Linked DNA regions of Lonchura striata. The protein of the gene in region 1 binds, or shares a complex with, the protein of each later gene. Links are inferred from orthologs where the notes say so. Each region holds a gene or a part of one and is shown on either strand. Other genes may lie near its edges.

What was found. Proteins that work in one complex are often made in the same cells at the same time.
Region 2: LAMTOR4 (region 1) and LAMTOR3 share a complex: the UniProt entries of both Homo sapiens proteins name them as parts of the ragulator complex. The link is inferred for Lonchura striata from reciprocal best matches to the Homo sapiens genes LAMTOR4 and LAMTOR3.

What each region holds. Positions count from the first base shown.
Region 1 is NC_134636.1:1,852,948-1,860,960, forward strand, and holds the start of LAMTOR4 (ragulator complex protein LAMTOR4), read right to left. Parts: upstream 3,001-8,013; 5' UTR 2,926-3,000; coding exon 2,923-2,925; intron 1,698-2,922; coding exon 1,620-1,697; intron 622-1,619; coding exon 504-621; intron 1-503. Other genes in the region: CHD3 (chromodomain-helicase-DNA-binding protein 3), read right to left, coding at 4,583-4,683, 5,595-5,724, 7,415-7,578. UniProt on the Homo sapiens protein: As part of the Ragulator complex it is involved in amino acid sensing and activation of mTORC1, a signaling complex promoting cell growth in response to growth factors, energy levels, and amino acids.
Region 2 is NC_134606.1:49,697,156-49,704,458, reverse strand, and holds the start of LAMTOR3 (ragulator complex protein LAMTOR3), read right to left. Parts: upstream 3,008-7,303; 5' UTR 2,928-3,007; intron 2,823-2,927; 5' UTR 2,782-2,822; coding exon 2,773-2,781; intron 2,634-2,772; coding exon 2,599-2,633; intron 1,977-2,598; coding exon 1,918-1,976; intron 1,095-1,917; coding exon 961-1,094; intron 1-960. UniProt on the Homo sapiens protein: As part of the Ragulator complex it is involved in amino acid sensing and activation of mTORC1, a signaling complex promoting cell growth in response to growth factors, energy levels, and amino acids.

The sequences.
Region 1 (8,013 bases):
GGCCGTTTTGTGCCCGTCTTGGATATTTTGTCCCCGTTTTGGATATTTTGTCCCCGTTTTGGATATTTTGTGCCCGTTTTGGATATTTTGGGGCCGTTTTGGATATTTTGGGGCGGTTTCGTGCCCGTTTTGGATATTTTGTGCCCGTTTTGGGTATTTTGGGGCCGTTCCGTGCCCGTTTTGGATATTTTGGGGCCGTTGCGTGCCCGTTTTGGATATTTTGTCCCCGTTTTGGATATTCTGGGGCCCTTCCGTGCCCGTTTTGAGTATTTTGGGGCCGTTTCGTGCCCGTTTTGGGTATTTCGGGTCGGTTTCGTGCCCGTTTTGGATATTTCGGGGCCATTTTGTGCCCGTTTTGGATATTTTGTCCCCGTTTTGGATATTTTGTCCCCGTTTTGGATATTTCGGGGCCGTTCCGTGCCCGTTTTGGATATTTCGGGGCCGTTCCGTGCCCGTTTTGGGTATTTCGGGGCGGTTCCGTGCCTCTTTTCGTGCCAGCTCACCCGAGAGGCGGCGGAAGGGCGGCTCGTGGCCGCGGGGCAGCCGCAGCCCCAGCGCCGTGGCCACCAGGCCCTGCAGGACGGTGGCCGTGTGCTCGTCGTTCTCCAGGTCCCCCGAGGACTGCCGAAGGAAGAATTCCGCATTTGGGGAACCCCGAAAGCTTTTTGGGAGTTCTCAGGGGGAACAAAAAAAATCCCCCCCAAAAAAACCCCCAAAAAGCGGCACCGAAATGCAGCAAAATCACCCCAAAAAATGACTTGAGGACCCCCACAAAATTCCTGGGGATCCCCCCCAAAATTTCTTTTGGGAGTTCTCGCTCAAAGATCCCAAAAAAACTGGGGGACCCAGGAGGAGAAAACTCCCCAAAAATGCCCCAAAAAACCACCCCAAAAATGACCTGAGAACCACCCCCCCAAAAATTTCCCAAATTCTTGGGAATCCCCCCAAAACTTCTTGGGAATTCTCACTCCAAGATCCCCCCCCCAAAAAATTGAAGCCTCCCAGAGGGAAACAAAAATCCCCAAAAAATAACCCAAAACCCACCTGGGAACCCCCGGTTTGAAGGGACCCCTCCCCAAATTGAGGAACCCCCAAAAAAGCTTCACACCCCCCCCCCCCCCGAACTTCCCCCCCCTCCCCCAGATTTTGGCACCCTCAAATTCGAGGACCCCCCCCCCAGATTTTGCCTCCCCCCTCCCCCAACTTTTAGGGACCCCCTCCCCAGTTTTTGGGACCTCCCAGTTCCGTACCTCCCCCCATTTTTGGGACCCCAATTTTGGGACCCCTCCCCCCATTTTTTAGGGATCCCTTTCCCCAATTTTGAGACCCATTTTAGGGACCCCTCCCCCCATTTTTAGGGACACCCCCCAATTTTGGGACTCCTTCCGCCATTTTTAGGGACGACCCCCCCTCAATTTTGGGACCCCTCCCTCATTTTTAGGCCCCTCTCCCCCCATTTTTAGGGACCCCTCCCCAATTTTTGGGACCCCAATTTTAGGTCCCCCTCCCCCCATTTTTTAGGTCCCCCTCCCCAATTTCGGGACCCCAATTTTAGGTTCCCCTCCCCCCAATTTTGGGACCCCTCCCCAATTTCGGGACCCCCCGTTCCAGCCCCTCACGGCCAGCACGGCGCCGTCGCTGATCACGAGGAACCCGGCCTGGGCCGGAACCCGCTCCAGGCCCTGCGCCAGCGCCGCCTGCGGGCCGCAGACAGCGCTGTAAACCAGTATGGACCAGTACGGACCAGTATAAACCAGTACGGACCAGTATACACCGGTGTAAACCAGTACGGACCAGTATAAACTAGTGTAAACCAGTACGGACCAGTATACACCGGTGTAAACCAGTACGGACCGGTATAAACTAGTGTAAACCAGTACGGACCAGTATACACCGGTATAAACCAGTACGGACCGGTATAAACTAGTGTAAACCAGTACGGACCGGTATAAACTAGTGTAAACCAGTACGGACCAGTACACACCGGTATAAACCAGTACGGACCAGTATACACTGGTGTAAACCAGTACGGACCAGTATACACCGGTATAAACCAGTACGGACCAGTATAAACTAGTGTAAACCAGTACGGACCAGTATACACCGGTATAAACCAGTACGGACCGGTATAAACTAGTGTAAACCAGTACGGACCAGTATACACTGGTGTAAACCAGTACGGACCAGTATAAACTGGTGTAAACCAGTACGGACCAGTATACACCGGTGTAAACCAGTACGGACCGGTATAAACCGGTGTAAACCAGTACGGACCAGTATAAACCAGTACGGACCAGTATACACCGGTGTAAACCAGTATGGACCGGTATAAACTAGTGTAAACCAGTACGGACCAGTATACACCGGTATAAACCAGTACGGACCGGTATAAACTAGTGTAAACCAGTACGGACCGGTATAAACCAGTATAAACTAGTGTAAGTACGGACCAGTACACACCAGTATGGACCCGTATAAACCGGTACGGACAGCGTTAACCAGTATGGACCAGTACGGATCAGTGCAGCCCAGTATAAACCAGTACAGGCTGCTGTCATCCCAGTTCCCCCCCAGTCCATCCCAGTCCCTCCCAGTTTATCCCAGTCCCTCCCAGTTCCCTCCCAGTTCCCCCCCAGTTCCCCCCCAGTCCATCCCAGTCCCTCCCAGTTTATCCCAGTCCCTCCCAGTTCCCTCCCAGTCCCCCCCAGTCCCTCCCAGTTCCATCCCAGTCCCTCCCAGTATATCCCAGTCTGTTCCCAGTCCCCCCCAGTCCCCCCCAGTCCCTCCCAGTCCCATCCCAGTCCATCCCAATCCATCCCAGTCTGTTCCCAGTCCCCCCCAGTCCCTCCCAGTCCATCCCAGTCCATCCCAGTCCATCCCAGTCTCTCCCAGTCTCTCCCAGTTCCCCATCCCAGTTCTCACCATGGCGACGCTCCCGCTTTCCCTTCCGATCACGTGACCCGCCCTCAGTACCCGCCCCGATCCCTCATTGGTTTAGCGCTTCTCTCGTCGCCGACCCATCCACCAATCGGAGCCGGCTGCAGGATCACGTGGGCAGAGAGGCGTGGTGAACTCGCTGGTCCGGCGCACCGGAAGTGACGTCAGTTACCCAGCGCGCGGCTCTGTAGTTTCCCCCACGGAACCGGAAGTTGCGCTCGCCCCGCGCATCTCGGTGGGTCCTCCCGCGCCGGAAGTGACGTCAGTCCCCCAGCGCGCGCTCCATCGTCCCTCGCTCCTCCAGCCCCGCCCCCGCGCCCCCCAAGAAATGGGGAAATTGGGGCAAAACGGCCCAAAAAAGCTTCAAAAAAAGGGGAATTCCCCTCCACAAACCTCTCCATGGTAACCTTTGGGACAATCCCGGGTTTATTCCCCACTGCTCCGGGACAATCCCGGGTTTATTCCCCACTCCTCCGGGACAATCCCGGGTTTATTCCCCAGTCCTTTGGGACAATCCCGGGTTTATTCCCCAGTCTGGGACAATCCCGGGTTTATTCCCCAGTCCGGGACAATCCCGGGTTTATTCCCCACTGCTCCGGGACAATCCCGGGTTTATTCCCCACTCCTCCGGGACAATCCCGGGTTTATTCCCCTCGGCTCCGGGACAATCCCGGGTTTATTCCCCACTCCTCTGGGACAATCCCGGGTTTATTCCCCAGTCCTTTGGGACAATCCCGGGTTTATTCCCCTCGGCTCCGGGACAATCCCGGGTTTATTCCCCACTCCTCTGGGACAATCCCGGGTTTATTCCCCACTCCTCTGGGACAATCCCGGGTTTATTCCCCACTCCTTTGGGACAATCCCGGGTTTATTCCCCAGTCTGGGACAATCCCGGGTTTATTCCCCACTCCTTTGGGACAATCCCGGGTTTATTCCCCACTCCTTTGGGACAATCCCGGGTTTATTCCCCACTCCTCTGGGACAATCCCGGGTTTATTCCCCAGCTCCGGGACAATCCCGGGTTTATTCCCCACTGCTCCGGGATAATCCCGGGTTTATTCCCCACTCCTTTGGGACAATCCCGGGTTTATTCCCCAGTCTGGGACAATCCCGGGTTTATTCCCCAGTCCGGGACAATCCCGGGTTTATTCCCCACTCCTTTGGGACAATCCCGGGTTTATTCCCCTCGGCTCCGGGACAATCCCGGGTTTATTCCCCAGTCTGGGACAATCCCGGGTTTATTCCCCAGCTCCGGGACAATCCCGGGTTTATTCCCCAGTCCTTTGGGACAATCCCGGGTTTATTCCCCAGTCTGGGACAATCCCGGGTTTATTCCCCAGTCTGGGACAATCCCGGGTTTATTCCCCACTCCTTTGGGACAATCCCGGGTTTATTCCCCAGTCTGGGACAATCCCGGGACAGACTCGGGTTTATTCTCTGCGGTGAAACGGAGCCCGGGCGGGGGGGGAGGGCCGGGGAGCGCCCCTCCCCCCGACCCCGCTCCTATAGAATTCCAAATTCCGTATTTATAGCCCCTCCCCCCCTCCCCCACCCCCCGCCCCTCCCCCCGCCGGGCTCGGGGCCGCCCCGGGGTGGGGGTTTGGGGGGGGGAGGGGCAGGGGGGACCCCCGGCCCCTCCCCCCCCTCAGTCGTCGATGCAGATCACCTCCCCCCCCCGCGGCGGCGGCTCCTTCCGCTCCAGCGCCTCCGCCTCGCGCTTCACCAGCACCGCGGGGCCGTTCGAGGCTGGGGGGGACACGGGGGTCAGGGACCCCCACCCATGGGACCCCCACCCATGGGAACCGCCCCCGAGACCCCCACACCCACCCATGGGACCCCCACCCATGGGAACCGCCCCCGAGACCCCCACACCCACCCATGGGAACCCCACACCCACCCCGCTTCACCAGCACCGCGGGGCCGTTCGAGGCTGGGGGGACACACGGGGGTCAGGGACCCTCACCCATGGGACCCCCACCCATGGGACCCCCACCCATGGGACCCCCACCCATGGGAACCTCCCCCGAGACCCCCACACCCACCCATGGGACCCCCACCCATGGGAACCTCCCCCGAGACCCCCACACCCACCCATGGGACCCCCACCCATGGGAACCCCACCCATGGGACCCCCACCCATGGGAACCGCCCCCGAGACCCCCACACCCACCCATGGGACCCCCACCCATGGGAACCTCCCCCGAGACCCCCACACCCACCCATGGGACCCCCACCCATGGGACCCCCACCCATGGGAACCGCCCCAGAGACCCCCACCCATGGGACCCCAAGGGAACCCCCTTCTCCACCCAATGACACCCTCAGAGACCCCAGGGACCCCCCCCCCGTGTCCCATTTTGTCCCCCCCAGTGTCCCCAGTGTCCCATTTTTGGGGATCACCCAGTGTCCCCAGTCCCCCCAGTCCCCCCCAGTGTCCCCAGTCCCCCCCGGTGTCCCCCCAGTATCCACCCCAGTGTCCCCAGTCCCCCCAGTCCCCCCCGGTGTCCCCGGTGTCCCCCCGTTGTCCCCAGTCCCCCTCAGTGTCCCCAGTGTCCCCAATGTCCCCAGTCCCCCCCGGTGTCCCGTGTCCCCCCGTTGTCCCCAGTCCCCCCCGGTGTCCCCGGTGTCCCCGGTGTCCCGGTGTCCCGGTGTCTCACCGGAGATGAAGGAGCCCGGTGGCATCTGGCTGTAGTTGGCCCCCCCGGGGTGGGGCAGGGCTCCGGCTGGGGGGGTCCCAAAGGTGCCCCCGTAGCTCGGGGGGGTCGCGTAGGGCCCCGGCGGGAAGGTCTGGGGACAGCACGGGGACAGGGACAGGACAGGGGACAGGACAGGGGACAGGGACGGGGGACAGGGACAGGGACAGGGGACAGGGACAGGGACAGGGGACAGTGACAGGGGACAGGGACAGGGGACAGGGACAGGGACAGGGACAGGGACAGGGACAGGACAGGGGACAGGACAGGGGACAGGGACAGGGGACAGGGACAGGGGACAGGGACAGGGACAGGGACAGGGACAGGGACAGGGACAGGGACAGGACAGGGGACAGGGACAGGGGACAGGGACACAGGGACGGGGACAGAGGGACAGGGACAGAGGGACAGGGACAGAGGGACAGGGGACAGGGACAGGGGACAGTGACAGGGACACAGGGACAGGGGACAGTGACAGGGGTAAGTTCTGGGGTCACTGCCCAGGGTCACCCCATGGTGTCACCTCCCACTGTCACCTCCAGGGTCACCTGGGGTCACCTCCCAGTGTTACCTCCTGGTGCCACCCCCATGCTGTCACCTCCCGGGGTCACCCCATGGAGTCACCCTCCCCGTCACCTCCTAGAGCCACCACCCCACTGTCACCTCCCAGGGTCACCCCGTCACTGTCACCTCCTGGGGTCACCTGTCACCTCCTGGTGTCACCCCGTCACTGTCACCTCCTGGGGTCACCTCCTGCTGCCACCCCCACAGCCAGGGGTGTCCTCAGGACAGGCTGTCCCCAGGGTCAGGGCTGTCCCCAAGGCGTGGACAATGTCCCTGGGGCTGGGTGACAGGGGGACAATACCAATGTCCCCACGGTGGGGTGACAGGGTGACAGGGTGACAGGGTGTCAGGGTGACAGTGTGACAGGGTGACACGGGGACAATGTGACAGGGTGACAGTGTGACAGTGTGACAGGGTGTCAGGGTGACAGTGTGTCAGGGTGACAGTGTGACAGTGTGACAGGGTGACAATGTGACAGGGTGACAATGTGACAGGGTGACAGTGTCACAGGGTGTCACTCACGGGCGGGGGGTGGCTCTCGGCGCCCTTGCTGGCCAGGCGGCTGAGGATGCCGAGGTGGCAGTGTGACAGTGTGACAGTGTGACAGGGTGTCAGGGTGACAGTGTGACACAGTGACAGTGTGACAGGGTGACAGTGTGACAGGGTGACAATGTGACAGTGTGACAGGGTGTCACTCACGGGCGGGGGGTGGCTCTCGGCGCCCTTGCTGGCCAGGCGGCTGAGGATGCCGAGGTGGCAGTGTGACAGTGTGACAGGGTGACAGTGTGACAGGGTGACAGTGTGTCAGGGTGACACGGTGACAATGTGACAGGGTGACAGTGTCACTCACGGGCAGGGGGTGGCTCTCGGCGCCCTTGCTGGCCAGGCGGCTGAGGATGCCGAGGTGGCAGTGTGACAGTGTGACAGTGTGACAGGGTGACAGTGTGACACAGTGACAGTGTGACAGGGTGACAGTGTGACAGTGTGACAGTGTGACAGGGTGACAGTGTGACACAGTGACAGTGTGACAGGGTGACAGTGTGACAGTGTGACAGGGTGTCACTCACAGGCGGGGGGTGGCTCTCGGCGCCCTTGCTGGCCAGGCGGCTGAGGATGCCGAGGTGGCAGTGTGACAGTGTGACAGGGTGACAGTGTGACAGTGTGACAGGGTGTCAGGGTGACACGGTGACAATGTGACAGTGTGACAGGGTGTCACTCACGGGCGGGGGGTGGCTCTCGGCGCCCTTGCTGGCCAGGCGGCTGAGGATGCTGCGCTCCGACATCTGCAGGCGCGCGGCGATGGGCGGGATGCGCGACAGCGTGGCCGGCAGGCGCGTCACGTCCGCCTTCATGTCGCTCAGCAGCTCCTCCAGCTGGTTCAGCACTGCCCGCCAAGAGAGACACCCTTACTCACCGCCTACTCACCGCCTACTCACCGCCTACTCGGGGGGTACTCGGGGGGTACTCACTCACGGGGTAGTCACTCACAGGGTACTCACGAGGTACTCGGGGGGTACTCACTCATGAGGTACTCACGGGGTACTCACTCACAGGGTACTCACGAGGTACTCGGGGGGTACTCACTCATGAGGTACTCACGGGGTACTCACAGGGTACTCACAGGGTACTCGGGGGGTACTCACGGGGTACTGAGGGGTTACTCGGGGTTACTCGGGGGGTGCTCACGAGGTACTCACAGGGTACTCGGGGGGTACTTGGGGGTACTCACGGGGTACTGAGGGGTTTACTGAGGGGTTACTCGGGGTACTCGGGGGGTACTCAGGGGTTACTCAGGGGTACTTGGTGGGGTTACTCAGGG
Region 2 (7,303 bases), on another chromosome or scaffold:
CAAGAGCCACAGAGGTGACTTTTTAGTGTACCCGTTTCTTAAGATTCATGGTTAGAAACACAAACAGACCTTACACTACAGTACAGGGAGCTGCACATGGAAAATCTGGCCATTCCCTCTGTCTCCATGTTCTACAGACTGCTGTCCACCAGAACCCTACCTTAGCTGCAGACCCTGCAGATTCCATTGTGGAGACACACCCTCCACAGGAAACAGGATGGCAGACAGGTTTATTGTTTTAAAATACTGTTCCCTGTACAGGAATATCTGTTCTTCCATTAACAGGGAAATGGTGCCATGGGCACAACAGTAAGCTAGTAGCATCAAGAGAGTCAAAGAAATGTACTGATGTGGGCAAACTGTCTTACTCACCCACTTATTTCCAAGCAAAGCTTGATACACTATAGGCTAAACAGCTGTTCAGTTTACTGCAGTCATAATTAAAAGCTCTCAGGGCCACCAGAACTCATGAAGGAACAGAAATGTAGTAGATTATAGACTTCTGGACACAAATAATTTATTTCTGAAAAATGTGAGTGGTATTTCAAACCATTCTTATCTCAAAGCCATATTGGCAGCAAGATTAACTATGAAGTAGGCTGCATGTACTTTAATTAATGTTAGGTGTCACTAATTATAAACATTGTTTCTAAAAGAGTACATAAACCCTTCATAAAAGATTCAGAAGACCATACGAACAATACCTCCTGCAAATTCAGAACCACTACACTTTCCCACTATCAAGAAGTAAATCTCAAGTTTTGAGAAATATAACAGAAGTTTTAAAAATACTGTGAAAGTTTGGCTTAACCATTTAAGCTGTGTAAGAAATAAACCAAAATTACTTCAATAGCAGCCTAGTGAAAATCTACCAGAGCTTAAACAACCTTCTTTCTCTTGCTCAATGTAACGCAGGAACAGCTCAAGTTGCTGAGGACAGGGCACGCTGAGGTTACTCACCTGGTAGGTATTGTAATAGCAGATGATACTTTTGTTTTTAGAGAGTCCTAACTTACTGCCCTGATCTGTGGCAAGGGCAAAGGTGGACAAAAAGCCAGGTCGCAGTGCATGTTCTGGAGCATTATCATTGGCAACTAGAACAAAACAAGAAAATCCTTATCTTTACATGGTGTCTCTGACTGCACCTCAAACTCTCATCCAGCTCAGTGCTCTGCCAAAACCAGAGAAACATGCAAGATGCCCGAGGTGCTCCCACAGGAACACCAGACAATTTTCACGAGCTGTACATAATTTAATGCTCTCTGTATGATCATAGCTTGCTATAGCAGCATCCCTCCTTGCATACCTGAAAAAGACTCTTTTCCTTTAGGATGCACAGCCTGTGCTGATGCCCCTTTGGTTCCATGTCCCACACTGTTTGCACCCATTCCAACCTTTGAACAGACTACTGGCACACACTTGACTGCAGACAGGTGAAGATGTGCAAGTTCTGCTGGGTGTTTGAATACTTTGGAGCATTGAGCAAAATAAACCTGCAATACTTGAATCTTTGTATCCTTAAACCATTATACTCACAAGCCAAAACCATCTGAAACAAGCACTGCAGAACATGAAAACTAGAGTACCAAAGAAACCAACAAAATACTGCCAAGCTCTCTCTACTACTTAGTATCAATCAGCCTGTGAGGGACTTGAAGCTAAAAGGACCTTACAGCATTCCAGCCCCTGTCATGGAGGAAAACTCCCACAGACTACAGTTACGGAGGGCACAGACAAAAGGATATGTTCAAAAAGGTACATAATCAACTAGTGAACTTTTACTTAAAGTCCAATTAAATTCTACCACTTGGGATATTCGGGTATTTGGCATAACCAGGAAGACTTTTCTGTACTTCTCCACCCTCTGCTGTTCAATCAGGATTTCAGCTGCAGAGCACAGTGAGAAGCTGAAGTTACCTTTGATAACAGGCACACCATCTCTATCTGAGACCACAATAGCATGAAGTCCTTCAACACTGAAAAAAAAAAAGGAAGAAGATGCATAATTTTAAAAACACAGTAATTAGTACAAAAGGTTTTTTGTGTGAACAAATGTGCAAAGAAGGGGAGAACTTTGAAAAAAACTGATGCCTTCATTAATTTAGTATTTGTTCTGTTTAGTACAGGTCTGGTGGCCCCAGCAATAAGAAGGACATGGAACTGCTGGAGCAAGTGCAGAGGAAGCCATGAGGTTGATGAAAAGGCTGAAGCACTTCCCCTACAAAGGCAGGCTGAGGAAGTTGGGGCTGTTCAGCCTGGAGAAGAAAAGGTTGAGTGGAGACCTCACAGCAACCTTCCAGTATCAGAACGGGGTTTATAGGGAAGCTGGAGAGGAACTCGTAATCACAAACTGCAGTGACAGGACAAATTGAAAACCAGGAAATTCAGGTTAGCTATTAGGAAAAAATTCTTTACTATGTGGCGGTGAGATAGTGGAACAGGCTGCCCAGGGAGGCTGTGGATACCCCCCCCTGGAAGTGTTCATGGCCAGGCCGGAGAGGGCTCTGAGCAAGCGGGTGTCGTGGGAAGTGTCCCTGCCATGGCAGGGGGCTGGCACCCGATGGGCCCGGCCGCCCGCCCCGCACAGCCCCACCTCACCTCGGCAGCTTCTTGTACAGGAACCGCTTCAGGTCCTGCGGGCAGAGACGGCGGCGCGTTACTCACGGCCGCTCCGAGCGGCCGGGCACTCCGGAGCTCCCTCCCCGCCCGAAGCACCGCCCGGCCCCGCCAGCAGCCCGCCCCGGCCCGCCCGCCCCGCGGAGCCGCACTCACGTCGGCCATGGCTGGGGCCCGCCCGCTGCTGCCGCCGCCGCCTCCGGGGCCTGCGAGACAAGACGAGGCGGCCCCGTCACCGCGGGCGGCCGGAGGGAGGGAGGCCGCGCTCCGTCCCGGGGCCCGGCCGGCCGCTCCCGCCCGCCCCGCCGTACCTGCCCGCGCCCCGCACGGCTCCGCCGCCGCTTCCCTCGGAGCGCTGTCACATGAGCCACGGCACCGCCCTGCCGGCCCCGGAACCGCTTCCCGGCCGTCCCCGCCCTCCCCGCCCCGGCAGCAAAACGAACCAAAGCCAAAACAAGCCATAGCGTTTTGCTTAAAGAAGATCAGCGACAGAAAGCGAACGTCTTTTTCTGCCGAGAAATTACTGCCGCTCTTCCACTGTTGCCTATTTCCCTTACTTTTGGATCAATTCCATCAAACCATGAGCCTGCAGGCCAATTTAACAGCTAATGTGAAGAAATAAATAGATTAATTTAGTAGATGCCTACAGTGTAACAGTTAGTTACAATGGTAACTGCACATCTGTTTTTAAAGTCTTCTATCGGAATGCAGGACCCTTATGGTAGATCTAAAAATGCCCCAAGCTGCTCAGCATGTAACAATGATTTTTCTTTAAAAAAAAAAAAAAAAAAAAAAAAGCTGCTACAGGCCAAGCACGGAATCACAGAATAAATTAAGTTGGAAAAGACATCCCAGATCATCAAGTCCAGACTATGACTAAACACCACCAGGTTAACCAGACCATGGCCCTGAGTGCCACGTCCAGTCTTTAATACCTCCAGCAGCAGTGATTCCATCACCTTACTGGGCAGCCCGTTTCAGTACTAGTCACCTTTTCTGTGAAGAATTTCTTGCTAACATCCAACCTGAATCTCTCCTGGCACAGCTTGAGATAATTTCCTCTCATCCTGTCACTGGTTGCATGCTAGAAGAGGCCGACCCCCCCAGCTACACCCTCCTGTCAGGGGGCTGTAAGCAGTAAGGTGCCCCTGAGCTGCCTCTTCTCCAGGCTGAACACTCACCCCCAGCTCCCTCAACCACTCCTCACAGGACTTGTGCTCCAGACCCTTCTCCAGCTCCGCTGCCCTTCTCTGGGCACACTCCAGCTCCTCAATGTCCTTCTTGCAGTGAGGGGCCCAGAACTGGACACAGCTCTTGAGCTGTGGCCTCACCAGTGCCGAGTACAGGGAAACAATCTCTGCTCCTGCTGGCCACACCATTGCTGATACAGGCCAGGATGGATGCCCTTGGCCTTCTTGGCCCCCTGGGCACAGCTGGCTCATGTTCTGCTGCTGTCACCAGAACCCCCAGGCCCTTTTCCACTGGGCAGCTTCCCAGCCACTCTTTCTCCTGCTTGTGGCACTGCCTGGGGTTGCTGTGACCCAAGGGCAGCACTCAGCCTTGTTAAACCTCATTCTGTTGGTCTCAGCCCATTGATCCAACCAGTCCAGATCCCCTGCAGAGACCTCCTGCCCTCCAGCAGATCGACAATGCCACCCAACTTGGTGTCACTGTGGACTTACCGAGGGTAGACTCAATTTCCTTATCCAGATCATCACTAAAGATACTGAATAGGAGTGGGCCCAATACTGAGCCGAGGGGACACCAACAGGGACTAGAGCATTGTTGATACCTGAAGATTTTGCTTAGATGCCAGTATAAAATTAAACTTTTAAAAAGTGTAAATTAAAAAAAAAAAAAAAAAAAAAAACTTGGAAATTGCTAATGTTTCTGCACATATAGGTCCAGTGACATTTCCAAAAAGCTCAAAACAGAAATAAGCCACTTTCTGCAAGTAAGAGGAAAAAGTAATTCAAAAGAACAAATTTATTTGAATACTGAGAATCCATACCTCCTTCTTAATCCAAGCCATGCACACACAGCAATTTGATAAGGACTTGGTCATATTAGAGAGATACTTAAAAGATACTTAAAATCATTGTGTGAGCTTCTGGTATATTTTGAAAATGCTACCTGGAACAACCTTGGTCTTCTCATTTATTAAAATATTCCCTAATATACACTAAATATGTTTAAAAATGCAACTTTTAAAAAATTATTTGCAGCCATGATGCTCAATGAACAATTTTACTTATTTCCCTGTCACATTTTGAATAAAAGCTATGCAAAAGCATCTATGAGATGGCTCCTGTATTACTATTAATGGGAATTTATTCTCCCATCCCAATGACAGTCATTCTATATGTGGAATAAACCAGTACTGGAGGGAGAAGCGTATCTTACATGAAGGATAACATTGTAACTAAACAGTGTATTTTAACATTATTTCTAAAAACATGGAGAAGCCCAATACTCAAACCTAATTCCTGCCAGACTGAGCAGTATGGGAAGTATAGTTTATAATGGTGTCCTGCTTTCAGCTGGGAGAGGGGAGTTACTTTTCTTCCAAGCAGCTGGTACAGTGCTGTGCCTTGGATTCAGTATGAGAATAATTTTGGTAACACAGATACTTTGGCTGTTGCTGAGCAGTGCTTACTCTAAATCCAGGATTTTTCAGTCTCCCACACTCTGGCAGTGAGCAGGTGAACAAGAAGCTGGGAGGGAGTACAGCCAGGACAGCAAACCTGGATGTGCCAAAGGGCAATTCCATTCCATGGATCCCCTCATGGTCAGTGTATAAACTGGGGAGGTTGGTCAGGAGCTGCTGACTGCTCAACAGGGACAGGCAGGGCATGGGTCAGAGTGTGGTGAGCAATTGCACTGGGCATCAATTCCTCTCTCCCTTGTTGTGTCCCTTTTCATTGCTGTTGATCACTGATACCTGATTTTGTTTCGATGATGAAACTGCTGTCATCTCAACCCACAGGTTTTACCTGAGTTCAATTTTTCCCACTGCGCTGTGGGGGTGAGAGCAGCTGGCTGCACGGTGCTGATCCATGGCTGAGGCCAAACCACAACAAATGGCCTTTTTTTTCCTACATTTATTGCATTACATTTTGTGTAAGTAAATTATAGCTTTAGGAATTTATTTAGTATTACCTGCTTTTTCTAAAAACAAAATGCTTTTACTATTACACTTTTCTTCAATTTGACAGAGCTACAAGGAGTCAGAATAACAACTGCTTAATGGTGAATGAAATTTATGAACAAACAACCTTAAAAAATATTCTTGCTCTCCCATTGAAATCCTTTCACAGCATTTGTTACAAAATTACATTAAAAATATTCATTATTTAAAGTTGTCTCTAATGTCTATTTAAATTCATCTGTTACAGTTTTAGCGCTGTAATGTTCTACCATTTCTTGGAAACTTGTTAAAAGAAAAAAGACCATTTAAAAAACAGTTAAAAATTCCAATTTAGACTTGTTTTACCCAAACAGAGAACTTGTAGGGAAATGTTCATCAGATGTGAACACTGAACTCGCTTGTGACTCAGGATGCTCCATAAATAGAACACATATTGATGTTATATTTCAGCAGATGCAAATCACCTCCTTTTTTCATTAGGCTATGTCAGAGTCATGCCAAGATTTTTCTCTTTTTGCTGGACTTTTCTGCCTGCCCTTTTAAAGGATAAAACCAAGAACCCATGCTTGTGCTATCTTTAACTCTAGATTAAATGAAAGGTAATCACTAAATAAAAACAGTAAGGAGCATGTAGCTAAAATTTTGAGGGATTTTTAGTCAGGCTGTTCAAAAACAGTGTTGTTTTCCTCTTCTCTTTCCAATATCTTATTTTAATGAGAACTTTTCCTTCTGAAGAAAGGTCATCTGAAAAGATTTAAGTACTCCACTCTCTTCAATTTGCATTTTGCTCATGAGAAAATTAATTCTGTACTTTCCAGCAGATTCCCTCAATAAATCCAGGGAAGATATTGACATTTCTGAAGGAAAAAAAAACCAAACCTTCAGACTTGAGGAAAAAAGCAACAATCATGAGGAGAAAAACACCCACTTGAAATATTAAAAGAGTGTTTGCAGGCCATATTTAGAGCAGCTTAATCTTTATGCCACAGGAAATCACAGCATCCTTTTGCACATTACTACGTATTTCAAAGTGTGCAAGTATTTAATCTGTTAAATGCTAAGCAGCATACTTCCACCAGTATAAACATATTATTTCCTTTTCAGAAAGTGCTAATTGCAAGGTAGTCAAATGAAATGTTGTGGTCTAGGTCTCACTTTTAACCTTATGGGATATCTGTGTTGCCATAGGGCACAGCCAGCACATCATTCCAGCTTGCAGAAGAACTGATAGGAATGGAACCCAGCTGACACAGCTCAGCATCCATCCATTTCCCCACTTCTCACCTGCACCAGAAGTGGCTGAAGGGCAGACACAGCCCATAGAATTATTATAGGCAGCTTTGCTAAGACCATCTGTTCACTCTGACTTCACAGTTCCAATATTTGATAAATGTGTTATATATCCTTTTTCCTGTTAACTAAAAGATCACTTGCAAGCTCAGACTCATTTGTAAACAGGAAGGTCTAAGTACTTGTTAAAGCCTTTGGAACAACTTTCTTCTTTTAAGAAGACACAGGAGTACCAGGATGTATTTTGAT